Astyanax mexicanus: one gene and its partner. The protein of the gene in region 2 purifies or fractionates together with the protein of the main gene of each other region. This does not show direct contact. Links are inferred from orthologs where the notes say so. Each region holds a gene or a part of one and is shown on either strand. Other genes may lie near its edges.

Region 1 (7,776 bases), on a different chromosome or scaffold from region 2:
TAAATATTTTAAACGTTGTTTAATAACTTTAAACAAATGATGCTTGTGCTTACCATTATAATTATTAATATTGTTGTCCTTGTGGTATTATTATTATTATTAGAAGAAAAACTCAAATTTATTTGAATTTAATTATTAGGTAAGCCAATCTGGGATCCCATTCTTATGTATATATAAATATTACAAAGTCTATTATAATGTGTAACTTTCTGTTACATACTTTACATTTTATTCATATGCAAATCCAACACATATCAGACACAATATTAAAACAAGCATAAGTCATAACATTATAATCACCTTCTTGTTTCTATTTTCCTGGTTTAATATTGTGGCTGAAGCTTGCCTAACCATTACCCTAACAACATTAATCCTATCATCTGATCAAAGGAAATAACTATGTTTTTTTAAGTAAATAAAAATGGTGTCAAAGAGCCTACTAAAAAGTGGGATTTATTATGGATCATTACAAATTCTTTACTTTAAAATGACCAAGCAGTCATGCAATAAAACAAAGAAATCCTGTATAGAAGAAGAAAATGCATTAGGATGCATTAATAATTGTTTTATAACCGCATCGCAGATTCCCACCCCTAGTTTACAGGTTTCCCAATCATGCAAATTTTACCTTCTCCTAACACACCTGAATCAGCTAATTAGCTCATTAACACGCCCTTTGAGAAATTGCAATGGGTGTGGGCAATTCTCTAAATGTGCTGGGAACACTGTTGTAATTGCATTACAGATTCAAACAAATTCAATTTGGTTTTAAATACTAGTTTTACTTTAGTAAAGACTCGGTTTATAATAATAATTTATCTTTGACACCAGGGTCCATGTATGATTAATAGCATCTTAAAAAGAAGGGGATGCTTAGCTTCAGATTTAGCACTTAATAAATCAGTCTGCACTGATCCTGGAACAGCACTCACAGCACAGCCAGCACGCCCAGAGAGTGCTCCTGGATGTCCAACGCTCCCAGCACCGTGTCTAGGTGGGAGAGGTTCTTGGCCAGCAGCTCTCCACTCTTGTTGATCAGCTCACATAGCTGAGTCATCTGACCTAAGAGTGACAGACAGAAAGACGAGACAGATATATTTGATAACAGAATCAGTTACACAGAGCTCTAAACAAGACAGCTAAAGTGTGTGTGTGTGTGTGTGTGTGTGTGTGTGTATGTATGTGGGGTGGGTTGTTTGTGGCCAGTCCTTAAAGTGTCACTTTAAAGTAAAAATAAAAGAGTGTGGATTTTCTGCTTGTAAAAAAAAAAAAAAAACAAAAAAAAACATTTAACCGTAGTTTAGTTTCTAAAGCAGAATAAGAATGTGGTGGGAGTGTGTTTACATACAGAACACACACATCTGGAGTGTAAAGAGCTTTGTAAAATGCTCCTCACTGCTGCAGGCTTCATAAAATGCGTTAATTACAACTAGAGAACATAACACAGTGGTAAAAACAAAGGATCAGACATGAATCAGGAATAAAATGGTATAATGTATAATTATGGATGTAATGTTCACCATCGAGCAGATGCTTCACTAAAATTAACTACTAAACTGAAGTGTGAATATATTAAATCTTAAAATCAGTTAATAATAAGAACATAATTAAATACAGAAACAGGAACATGTAAATATAGAATAAGTCATAATATATGTATTGCTTTTCGAAGCAGTCTTATAAGCAGTTTTATAGGTTACTTAGTAACACTCATATTTACAGCTCAAAATATCTAGCTCAACGTTTACATTGTTGCAAATTATGGATGCAATGATTAGTCAACTAATCAATAATGTTCATTATTAAAAATTGGTCGTCTCCAAAGTCAGTGTATACTTATAAATTATTTGTAAATGCGATGCACTAAACAAAGTAAAATAAAATAGCATTTTAAATAGTATTTTAACGTAGCACGGCCAGTGTTACTTGGTCCTATTCCAGCACACAATACATACATCAGCATATGTTGTATAACCAATATACTGATATAATTATATATATATATATATATATATATATATATATAATGATATTCTGGTTTGTTTAACACTTTGATTGCAAAATAATTCTGCGTGTGTTCCTGTAATCAATATTCTTCTATATTAAATTTACAATGTCAAAAAATCATTAACAGAAAGAAAACACATTATACATGAACTATATATACATTATATTCTGTTAAGGATTTCGATATATCTTGACCATATCGTGATATGACATTTCAGTCATATCGTCCAGCCCTAATCTAATGGATAGGTTATCTAACTCAGTAAAGCAGCTTATTTGTCTCAAATTAAAACACTTAACTTGTCTAATAATATCTCAAACACTTGTCTAATGTAGCTAATCTATTATTTACCAAGTTTCTCTGAGAGTCTGTGAGCCAGTTAAAGCGCTAAGGTGCGCTAAAGTTAGCTGCACTCACTGTGTTTGGCTAGTCAGTCAGCTAGCACCTAATAGACATAACTAGCAGTAGCATTAGCTATCTAGCTAGCTGTGTTTATAAACACAAAAGCGAGGGGAATTCGGGTTAAATCAACATTTGTTTGCGTTTGGTGGTTTAAGAAGAGTTTAAAGGCGGTTCAAATTACATGTGTGTTTAGTTAAAGGTTAGTTAAAGAGTGTGGAAATAAGTGAAGTGAGACCAAGAAGCTGCTAGTTCGAATTCTCCATTCCACCTTAAATGTGGCGGCAGTTACAGTCCGGAATCGAGGCGCGAGAATGTAGATGCAGTCTACAGCCTCGCTATTTAAGGTGGAACGGATAGTTCGATTAAGCCTCGTCCGCCGCCGCTAGCAGACCTGGCTAAACTCGCTCCATCTCTCCGAACGGGTGCGTACCTTGTGCAGACAGCTGCCGCACATTATTCACGAACTGCTCCAGCGCGGAAGCCATGACTCTGCAGCGGGGTAACGAGCGCTCTCTCGCCGCTTTTCATTCAAGTATGAGAGGCTGCTGCTCAGGAACACAAGTCACGGTGAAGCGCCGCGGAGGCCGCCACCAACACAACACTGCTATCGCGAGATCTGCGCTCATAAGCCACAGATCCCGCGAGATTTGAGAGAAGGATCAAAAACAAACGATAAAAGTCTCCAGTGTTTAACAAAACTTTTATTTTTAATTTTTTCCGCTAAAAACGGCGATCAGAAACATTTAACTAACAATTTACTAACTTTAATATCCTGTACAGGAAACAAAGTTTTTTATTATAGACATTTTTTAATATATTTATTTTTTATGTATAGGGATATTTTTAGTACATCTTAAATAGCATAAAAATACAAATACATTAACACAAAAATATATAAATATGTAACTTAAAAAACATAAAACATATACTCATACAGTGGCTTCCAAAAGTATTCATACCCCTTGAACTTTTTCACATTTTGTCATCTTATAACCACAAACTTAAATGTCTTTTATTGAGATTTTCAGTGATAGACCAACACAATGCACATAAGTGTCTTGGTGGACAGTCTTCAGTCTCCAGCAGATTTTCTTCCATGTTTGCCCTGTATTTAGCTCCATTTATGTCCCCTAGTTTAGATGTTGTTTGGAAGTTAAATTGTGGTGCATTGTAGAGATGTTACTAAACTTTAAACAGTGGCACAAAATAAGCACTGTATAAAGTTTATTACATAATTATATCTGTGTTTTACAGCAGCTTGTAAAGAATTTATTACACCATTACAGTACCAGGTGTTTTCTTTCTTTTTATGATTTTTACTTTTTTATTTTAAAGACATCAAAGCTATACAGAAACACATACAGAAATGTTTTGTGTTCAAATTAAAATAATCAAAAGTAAAAATTTAGTAAAAAAAAATGTTTGAGGACAGATCTGCACACTTAATCTCAGTGTCCCCATAAGGGAGAGTCACCTCGAATAGTTTTCTTAGCATCTTGAAGGAGTTTCTGGAGTTTTCTTGTTTATAACTGTATTATATCAGTGTTATACAGAACATAGTAAAGTGTTAACTATGTTATAACAGTGGTGTAATGACTTGTTGGGTTAATAACATGTTGGGTGTTTGTATTCGACTGTTCTGTAGGACAGAAAGTATGTTTCAATTATTTGGAAAATGTATTCAAACTTTGTGTTCCTACACAGTTTTTACAGTATTGTATTAGTTGTACAATTTCTTTTCATGGCTGTACAGTAACTGTATACAGTAAATTATTATTTTGCTTTTGTATTTGTATGTAGACCACTGTACATGCAACTGTATGTTGGTTGGGATGTACACTGTGTACCTTGTTTTTATGGGAAAATAAAATAGATATTTTATAAAATATAGATTTTTACTGTGTACTGTGTGTTCTGAGTATAAAAACAATGTTTTAAAAAAATGTCATTATTGTGAATAGAGAAGTGTTTTTATTCATCATAATGTTTTACATTGAGCTTATCAGTGTTTAACTGATTCTTATAAATGTATATTCCTATTATGGTTTGTATGTGTCATCTGAACACAAAACACCATTATTAGAAGAGATAACATTGTGTTGAATGTAAAATTGTATTTTGCGAGAGAATTGAAAGGTTATGCCTGTTGTGTATGTGTTTGCTTGATTTGTGTGTAGAGTACTGAGAGAATGAGGTATGCTTTTGGAAAATGTGTGTAAACAAAGCAGACAAATTGTAAATAATAACTATTATTAATGTTAATTGTGCGTAGAAGAGCACAACCACTCAAAAAACATCAAATTAACGTTGATTCAATTTCCGAATTTTAGCTTGAGTTGATACTTAAAATTGTACAGTAGTATTAACCCTAGTATCTATACCTCTACCTACAGAGTAATGAATGTGATTGTTTTCACACCATTTGTGTGTGTAGAAGTGAGCCGGAGGGCGTCCAGACCGAGTGCACAGCTGGACAGGCGTTCACAGGTGTGAGGGTCTGCATGTGCATGTGCGTAAAGGTGTGTGCAAGTGTTTAGTATGTGCGTAAAAATGTGTGCAAGTGTGAGTATGTGCGTAAAGGTGTGTGCAGGTGTGAGTATGTGCGTAAAGGTGTGAAAGCGTGTGTGAATGCTTCATTTGTCCTGCTCATTTGCACGTGTTAGAAGAGTAGTGCTCGAGCTGCAGCAGTGGAGCACACATGCTTGCACATACGGGCTTTTAGAGGAAGATGGGGGGGTCGGGGTGAAGAGATGGGGTGGGGGACCAAATGTTGTAGCTAGTTCTTTAAAAACAAATAAAGGGCGCGCTCGTGCACACAGCACAACACTACAGCGGAGCTGCTACAGAGGGGCTGCCTGCAGGCGCCAGCTGACTAACTGACGGAGACGCAGAGCAGCGCGAGGACGACGGGTCAGCGGGGCGGCGGGGCAGCGGCAGCTCCGGGAGAAAGAACCGGGGTGAGTGCTTCTCTATTCAAAGCTATATAAAGCTAATACACTAAAGCTCAGTCTTTTCAGTCCAGAATCAGAGCCCAGATACTAACTAACCTACAGTCAGCCAGTCATGGCACGTTTGGGTGTATCTGAAACGCAGGAAATGCTGCCTTGATGCCTTAATGCTTTACACACTAAATAACCTAGTTAACCTAGCTAGCTAGCTAGTTAGCTAATCATAATACTGTGGTTATAACCGTCTCTTTTTTCTTTAATAAAAGGGGAAAATACGCCCCCTGACCTTGTCATGGTATAGACAGCAGTTAGCTAGCATTTCAGCTCAATAAACAGAAGGCTAACTAGCTAAAGCTAGCTTTATAAACTAAAGTTTAATAGACCTTTTTCACAGTCGCTGTGTCGTCACGTCCGGCTCTGAATATCAGCGTTAATATCGTGTTTCCGTCTGTACTGTTTTAAATGGTATCATCTCTCCTTGTGGTCAAACAAATGGTCATCAGAAATATACAATATACAGCTCTAAAAAAATAAGAAACCACATAAAATTGATGAGTTTCAAACTGAAAACCTCGAGATTATAATCAAGAGGAACATGGATGATCACAGGCCATCAAACTAAGTTGAACTGCTTAATTTTTGCACCAGGAGTGGTATAAAGTTATACAAAAGCAGTGTGCAAGACTGGTGGAGGAGAACATGCCAAGATGCATGGAAACTGTAATTAAAGACCAGGGTTATTCCACCAAATATTGATTTCTGAACTTTTAAAACTTTATGAATATGAACTTGTTTTCTTTTGCATTGTTTGTGGTCTGAAAGCTCTGCATCTTTTTTGTTATTTCAGCCATTTTTCTAAAAAAAAGCTGTCAATGACAATATTTTTTTTTGGAAATTGGGAGACATGTTTAAATAGTTTCTAGAATAAAACAACAATGTTCATTTTACTTAAAATTTATCCCTCTGGTCTCTTAATTTTTTCAGAGCTGTATATTGGACTTTGAGAGGAATTTACATGCCTGTATCAGCAAATCTGTTATCAGCAGCAGGTCAGAGTCTGTCATGGTAAGGGGGTTGTAGTAGTATATTTCTGTGATTGCAGCATTAATGACAAGGTTCCAAGGTTTTTTTTTTTTTTTTTTTTCAACAAGACAATGTAAAACCACATGATGCACTCATTACAAAGGCATGGCCGTGGAAGAAGAGGGTACGGGTACTAGACTGGCCTGCCTGCAGTCCTGACCTATCCTGTCCCCAAAAGGAGGAAATGTGTGGAAATTATTCTTAGTCCTCAAATGTATTTTAAGTGTTATGGAAAATAAATTACACCATTAAGAAGGGGTAAATGCTTTTCTGTCTTTTTTTGGAATTTATTGGAATGTGTTGGAGGCCTGAAATGCAGGAATTGATGTATACTAATTAATGAAACAGAAAGTTGAGCAAGTAAAACATTAAATATCTTCATACTGCCTGCATTCAAATAAAAGTCAGAGTAAATGTAAGAAACACCTATTTTCCTAATTTACAGTGGGCCTGCTGAGTACATTTAGCGGCTTGAATCTGGGGGGGATGGGTGGGTGGATACATGTATATGTGGTGGGGGGTGAGGGGTGTTAACTGTTCAGAGATATGTAATACAGGTCTGTAATTGTAATGTAAAATGAGGCAGTTGGGTCAGTTAAACTGACGGCACTGTGTGAGGATTCTGTACGGTTCTGCTGAATAATCCTCTGTAGTCTTTCTGAACTCACTGTCCCACAGTCTAAATATTCCAGGATAAACTGGTCCCTCCCAATTACCAGGAATTCTATAAATCACGTTTCTGTTGGTGCTAAAATATCCTGTAAAACAAGTAAAACCAGTTCACTATTGTGTGAAACAGAACTGAAGTGTTGTACTGTATTTCACAGACACAAATCAAGTTATTAATAGTCATAACATTTTATATAAGACACATACGGCACTGTTTTATATATCAGACACAATTTCTTTTCATTTGTTCACTGAATGTAACAGACTGGAAACAAAAAAAACAAACAAAAAAAAACGTATTCTCCATTACTCCGTTATTATAACTCCAGTATAGAAGCGGTAAAGAAAATGCAAATAAATAAAAATGCATTTTATAAAAATATTTACTTTTTATTTAATTTGCAGACAGTATACACCTTATATATACTTTATTTCATTTATATATATACATCTATTCCTACATTTTAGGTCTTCAACACATACTAAAAAAGTTGGGACAGAAAAGCATTTACCACTTTGTAATTTTGATCACAACACAACACAACAAGAGATTGGCTGGCTTTAAGGATACCAAGCACTAACGTGTTTCAGATGTTATTTTGTTTTATTCTTCCTGCAGACATGTCTTAAAGCGTGCAACAGACAGAGTTGTTTGTTGCAAAATTC
Region 2 (7,343 bases):
AGTGTGCAATTTCTTTATCTACACTGAAGTATGTGGATGCGTCCCAATTCCCTACAAACAGATAATACAAAGTAGTTTTTGAGAATAAAGTATATAGTATTGATAAAAGTATTCTCAAATATTCCATGCTCAGAACCGTTTTTAAAGGTGTGGTAAAGATTGAGACTGTCCTACAATGGCAGCAGGAGAACAACACTTTATCACTTTTTGTTTGTACAGAATGGTTTGGTATTATGTGTAGTATGTGATTGGGACACAGACAAACAAAAATTTTTAATTATTCTACCCAGCCAACTTTGATTGGCAGTAAATCTAACATACCCCTTGTATGAAGGATTTCTTGTTCAAAATTTCATAGTCCCACAACATGATGTCTCCACCCTTAGAGCCCACTGCCACAGTGCTGGGATGACTGGGATGCCACTCCAGACATGTGACCCTCCGTTCAAAAGGGCTGGCTGTTCGGTGCAGTCTGAATGATTCCAGGGAGCGAATAAAAGGCTCTTGGAGACACTTAAAAACAGTGAAGAAAATAATGCATGGAAAAATTCATTAGCAGCAGACAGACAGACTGTTTATCAACACACTAACCATCTAAATGAGGGAGTCCAAGAGACTATACTGGGCTTTGTCAGATATAAGGTCACATTAAAAGACAGGGAGAACACCCTGCATTTGTTTGAAGGATGACTACTTTTGAGAGACACTCCACTGTCCATGTTTTCTACAGTAATTGGATATGACTGAATTAAGCAGGAACTGAGTAAAACAAATATACATAATCTTGTATTTCTGCATATCATTCTTAAAAATAATGATATGAAAATATAACAATGAGGAAAATCATCAAAATCACATGAAAAATACAACAGCACTATAAAAATTGACACAGCCATCACTTTCTGAGAATAGACAGAACACTGTAATTAGTTTTAGGCATGTGGTTGGTTACCTGTCGTAGTTGAGAGTGGATGCTCTGTCCTAAGGAGCTCTTGTAGATGTAATGAGGTATGCTTATCTGGCTGCATTTCTTCAGTCCTCCAGTCCACTTTACACTTGCCTGAATGTACACTATATGGGCAAAAGTATTTGGACTGTTTATATTCATTGTTGAAATTTAAGGCATTAAAATAAGAGTTTATCCTGCATCTGTTAGAGTCAGAGTAACTCTACTGTCTTAGGAAGACTTTTAGTTAGTGCAACACTGCTGCGAGAATCTGATTGCATCTAGCTATAATAAAATTAGTGGGGTCAGAATGTTTGATGATCAACACCTCATTCCCAAAGTACTGAATAAGGCAGCATAATTCCAGAGAACACAGTTTCACTGCTCAATTCCCCTCTACAACACACCTGGCATTAGGCATTGTGCCACTAGATTCATGTTAATCTGCTGACATGCTGTTGACAGGTGACATAACGGTGAGGTTCTAAATGTGTTTATCGCCATGCTGAAGGTACTCTGTGTTCATGCTGTAGTACTGCAGTCAGCAGTTTCATCTGTGTTTTGGATTACTGGGGCTAGCTTGTTGTAGTCAGTTTGTATTTATCAGTGTGGCTAACAGACGTTAATCCAAAGTAGATTCTGTGACATTCTTGTTCAGCTTGTCTGGAGAAGCCATTTCCTCACTTTACTTCTGTTTCTCCAGTTGTACTGCTTTAAATTCTCTAAAGGTTATAAAAGCATGTTAGTTTCTTGTACTTTCACTGTACTGCTCACAATAACTATACCGTAAACATGGCGCTTTGGTGTCATATAATACTAAGTAAACACACGTGACTGTCAATAAACTGATTGGCAATACCTTCTCCAATAGGGACTAGACATATTTGCACATCTGTATCAGCCATGACTCATGGGTGCAGCTTAAAGGGGCACTGAACTTCCTGATTTTTCCTGACTCCACCATCAGCTTAAATTTAAAGCTCCACTAGGTAGGATTGAGATTTTGTGCTCGTGGGCTCCCCCTACAGTTGCAGAGTGTAATAAATGTTTCAGGCGGATTAGTTTCTCTTTCTCGTTTTCTGGCTTTCACAGACATATTCGGTCTATTTCCAGCTTCTGCCAGCGTGTCTGTATGTTAGTTTGTAAAGAATGAACCAGTAGTCCTTGTAGAACTGTTAGAACTAAAGGTCGGAAAGCAGGTCGCAGTTCTCGCGAGCGTTGGTTGCAGCCGCCTTGGAAAACTTACAGAGTCTGGTTTGAGCTCAGAGGAGCCCGGCACAGACACGAGAGCACCGCTATTCCTCCTATTACACCTCAATTGAGCGCTGCAGTGAGTTTCAAGCTGTAATTTTACTTCTTTAAAAAGATCAAAAATCAAGGAAATCCTACCTAGTGGGGCTTTAAAAAAGGCTAAAAAGGGGGCACTGGGTGATGTATGGGTTTAGGGGTGGGGCAGGAGGGAGAGCTGATTGGCTGAGTTGCAGCTGCAGCAGTGTGAAGCAGATGGTTGGATGTCACCAGGGGGGCGGTATTATTGACTGACTGATCTGCATATTGTGAGTGTCTATGTAGGAAAGTACACGGAAACCTCATCCTCGCCTGTAGCCCAGTTGAACTTGAGAGGACACTGCAGAGGCAGAAATTACCACAGTAAAAGCGTTTTTTTAGAGGTTAGGAAATGCTTATAATAAGTAATAATTTTAAGTAGTGGTTAGTGATTAAGGGTTTAGTGCCTCTTTTACATAGCTAAATACATTTATTAGAAGGAAGGGGTGTCCACAAACATTTGGACATATTGTGTAAGTTAGTAAACTGGCTACTCCTGGCAGTTTTACATGCCTCGTCGTTTATAATAAAATCACTTTTCAGAATAAAACGTAAAGGAAATACCAGTGAACACGTTTCCACACCTGTGTTTGATCCAGCCCGTCCATCTTTCTTTGCTTTCAGCTTTTTGGAAAGCGTTTCAGAAACCTCAGCATTCTGTCGTTTTCTCGCGCCCTCCTCTTTCCTCTTCCCTCTCGCCATTGTACAGCAGTTTTCTGTCTGAAACATGTCGATACACAGTGACTATGATTACAGCTCATACACTAACACACAACTAGCCTGCAACTTCAGAAACACTGATGAGCTAGCAAGCTAACAAGGTGTAACGTTAGGTTACAGCGGCATTAGCAAGTAGCTAATGTTAAGATACTTTACCTACCTTTCACCGTGCGTCCACACCGAAAGCGACGCGAGCGACAAAGCAGCCGGAAGTCATTCATTTTCAATGAGAGCGAGCGACACTGGGCGACAGGCAGCGACGCGGCGCGACGCGATGCGAAGCGGGCGGTTTGAGCGACGCGAGAGAGTTGACCAGAACTTAACTTTATGCAAATGAGCAGCGACGCGCGGCGGCGACTACCAATCAGAAACAGATTCTCATATGTCCGGCCTGAAATCGCTGCTCTGATTTTCAGTTCCTACTGAAGATTTATTCCGCCAGCAAAACGGAAAGAACAGAACTGAACTGAGCTGATCTGAGGTAAAATACTCCACTTCACCAGCGGCTACCCCACTATAGTACTATCCTTACAGAATTACCTTATTTAATAGAAAACTATATATTAAACTGAGGAAATTATTTATAAATTAACAGAACGATTTATGACAACTAAGGGAATATTTTTTAAATTAACAGAACCTTTTATTGAAACAAAGGGAATTATTTATTAAAGTTAACATAATGATTTATTACAACTGAAGAAAGTAATTAATACATTTAACGTAACAATTTGTTCAAACTGAGGTATGGAATTTGAAACGATTTAGGTAAAATTGAGGGAATTATTCATTACATTTTACAGAAAGATTTATTCAAACTGAGGGAATTATTTATTAAATTAAGAGAAAGACTGTTTATTAAATCAAGAGGATGATTTAATATATTTAAGTAAACATATTAATTACAAGAATTTATTTTAGACATTAAGTTAACAATATTTGAAATTATGGACAAATTAAGAGAATGATTTACTACATTAAGGAAAATAATGTATTATATTTAAGTAAACCCATTTATTGTAATATGAAATAATTATGTTAAATAATTGTACTTAAAAATAGTTATAAAAGTTTTTAATGTTTAGGAACTGTGTAGAGAGGCTGAACCCTTGTTTCTGTATGTGCCGTATTTGGAAAACGCCCACCAGCGACAGCTCGTTCTGAGTGAGACACGCCCACAAGCGACTCATCGCCTGTTGGACAGGCGACACAGAGCGATTTTATCGCGTTCGGTGTGAACGTACAGTCAGACGTGTTTTCAGCAGTACAGAAAGCCCCACGCGCTGTTTATATCGATACACTCCGTTTATTTCTTCCACTGACCTTAAAGAGTATAAACAGCGCGAAGAGGGTCACACGTGTGTGGGCGTGACGTAACCCGCGGATTGTTTTGTAACGCTTGAGTGTGTGTGTGTTACAGATTATAAACACTAGATGGCGGTAGACTGGAAATCTGACACTGTATGCCAGTTCTCACATTTTTTTTGAGACCACTTAAAAAGAACGATTTTCTTTGATTTTACCAAATTGAAAACCTCTGGAATATAACCAAGAGGAAGATGGATGATCACAAGCCATCAAACCAAGCTGAACCGCTTGAATTTTTACACCAGCAGTGTGTAAGACTGTTGGAGAAGAACATGCCAAGATGCATTAAAAACCAGGGTTATTCCACCAAATATTGATTTCTGAACTTTTAAACCTTTATGAGTATGAACTTGTTTTCTTTGCATTATTTGAGGTCTTTCCAGCCATTTCTCATTTTCTGCAAATAAACGCTCTAAATGACAACATTTATTTAGAATTTGGTAGAAATGTTGTCCGTAGTTTATAGAATAAAACAACAATGTTCATTTTCATTTTTAAACATATACCTACAAATAGCAAACTCAGAGAAAATGTTTCAGAAACTGAAGTGGTAAAACACAAAATTAGGCCACAAACAAAGTTCAAACTACCATCATTACAAAAATACTAACAAAAAACAAACCTAAGAAAAACAAAGAAAAGGGATTGATATAAAAGCTTAAAAATATATTTGAAACTGCAAAGATCACCGCTTCACTTCATTTCCCAGGATCCCAAAGCACTACCACCAGAGCTGGTGGAATCTTCACATTTCCTACATTAAATACACTATACAAACACATTTACTGGCACACATGCTCATTTATTGTTTCTACCTAAGTAACTTTATCCCACTTTTGTTGAAGTCTTTACAGGGAAGGCTTTCTACTCAATTTTACACTAAAAAGAACAGAGGTACAATATAAGTACTTTTGGTACTTAAAGGTACACTCTTAATAATTGTACCCTCAAAGGTATAATATTGGTCTTTACAGGGTCAGGTGTGTTCCCTCTGAAGTACAAAGTCATTCCTAACAGCAATACGTACAGATTTGTACCATTTAACCATTTAGCCAATATATTTTAATTGCACATTTTTATTTGAAAGCTAGACAATTTTAGATCTTCAAGTTCTTGACTTCTGGATCTTCAAGTTCTTAATTGATTTATAATCTTTATAATCTTTACTGGTACAAAAACACATGGGTTCAAAAAAGGAAATTTACTGAAAGGTACTTGTACCTAAATATAAGGTACAGCCCCAGCGACAAGCTTTGTTCTCTTTTAAGTAGAAATATGTACTTATTTTTCTTAGTGTGTAGAGCATTTGCTGTAAGGATGAAGCTATATAAAACTATTTAACTACATCATAGACTGTACAGTCTATGATCTACATGCATCAATATGTGTCAAATTCCATTTGTTAGAAAAAAATAAGTGTATTATTTTCCCAGAATAATATCTGTTTCTCTACATACTGTTTTTTGACCAGATTTTCAGTTTCGGTACCAAAAAGCGTGTTAAACATTTAACAATAGAACCCATTCATATGAAATTCATATGCTTCACTTATCACTGTTCTACATGCATAACCATTATTGTCTTTACTAAACAGCCCTTGAAGAGGCCCTTTGTGTAGTCAGTCATACAGGAAACAAGCAACAAGCAAGCACTTTTTTCCCCACCTATATTTAGAAAAGTCCTAATTGCAGTGTTTCTCAAACCTGGTTCTCGAGGTCCACTGTGTTTCGCACATGACAGTGCTTTTCCAGCTGTAACACACCCACTGAGTGTGTAATGGGCTATTAATATTTCACTCACACACTCACACCTAAGGGGCAATTTCAATCAAGTTCCAATTAGCCTGAACGTGCCGTCTTTGGACTGTGGGAGGAAACCGGAGGAACCCGGAGGAAACCCACGCAGACACAGGGAGAACGTGCAAACTCCACACAGAAAGACCCGGGTTGCCCCAGCCGGGAATCGTCTTGCTGTGAGGCGGAAGTGCTACCCACTGCGCCACTGTGCCGCCCGTAGTGGTTCTAATGTAAACTTTTTTTTCTATGTCTGTATATCTATGTCTGGTAAAAGTTAAAAACAATTAAATAATAATAATAATGTAATAGTGATTTTAGCATATATATATATATATATATATATATATATATATATATATATATATATATATATATATATATATATATATATATATATATATATAATTTCTCCCTGAAATTATTTTTTGCAACTTGGGATGTCTGTACTGAGTGTACAAATTGTGTAAAACAAACCTCAAGTTTTACTGATAGTGGGAAAATAATGCAGTTAGTATCATTCTTCAAAACGGATTTTAAAAAATCAAAAATTGTATGTGAGAGAGGGACACATGTATCAGTTATGAATTATTAGCCAATCGCAGCCCCGGAGGGCGTGGCCTGCCTGGAAACGGGTGGGTAAATCTGGCTGGAGCAGTGAGGGGCTCCACAGCGGTGTTGGATACGGCGGTGCAAACATGAGCACGTCGACCAATCAGATTTCGCCCTGGGACGCGCAGCTGACAACGAAAACAAAGAAAGGCATGTTTTTCCCTCTAAAGCTGCTCGCTTCCCATGCATCGCCTGGTCAAGGCACTGGAGGAGCCGTCACTATTTAACACTTACTCACTGGACACACTTCACTTTCACCAGCATCTAGACTGTAAGTACACCCCAGCATATCTTCTGAAGTCACCCATACGTTAAAAACACAACTTTTTTAAAGTTACATATGGGCTAAGTAGCAGCTTTAATTTGGTAGTTCAGCCAGAATGCAGCAGTAGCTTGGTGTGAAGGAACGCGTTGCAAATTCCAGTCAGTGAAGATGTAGTTCAGATATAGTGTTTTATATATATATATATATATATATATATATATATATATATATATATATATATATATATATATATAAATCGTCTCTTGGCAAACATCCTGGTTTACATTCCAGTAAAGTTATAGATTAATCCAAT

The links.
Region 1: the proteins of ddb2 (region 2) and cops3 purify together in Homo sapiens (affinity purification with mass spectrometry; 7 studies listed by BioGRID and IntAct, with this or other methods). This does not show direct contact. The link is inferred for Astyanax mexicanus from reciprocal best matches to the Homo sapiens genes DDB2 and COPS3.

Annotation. Positions count from the first base shown.
Region 1 is NC_064422.1:7,820,944-7,828,719, reverse strand, and holds the start of cops3 (COP9 signalosome complex subunit 3), read right to left. Parts: upstream 3,023-7,776; 5' UTR 2,896-3,022; coding exon 2,841-2,895; intron 1,063-2,840; coding exon 933-1,062; intron 1-932. UniProt on the Homo sapiens protein: Component of the COP9 signalosome complex (CSN), a complex involved in various cellular and developmental processes.
Region 2 is NC_064416.1:24,642,011-24,649,353, reverse strand, and holds the start of ddb2 (DNA damage-binding protein 2), read right to left. Parts: upstream 3,019-7,343; 5' UTR 3,002-3,018; coding exon 2,857-3,001; intron 1,072-2,856; coding exon 953-1,071; intron 514-952; coding exon 322-513; intron 1-321.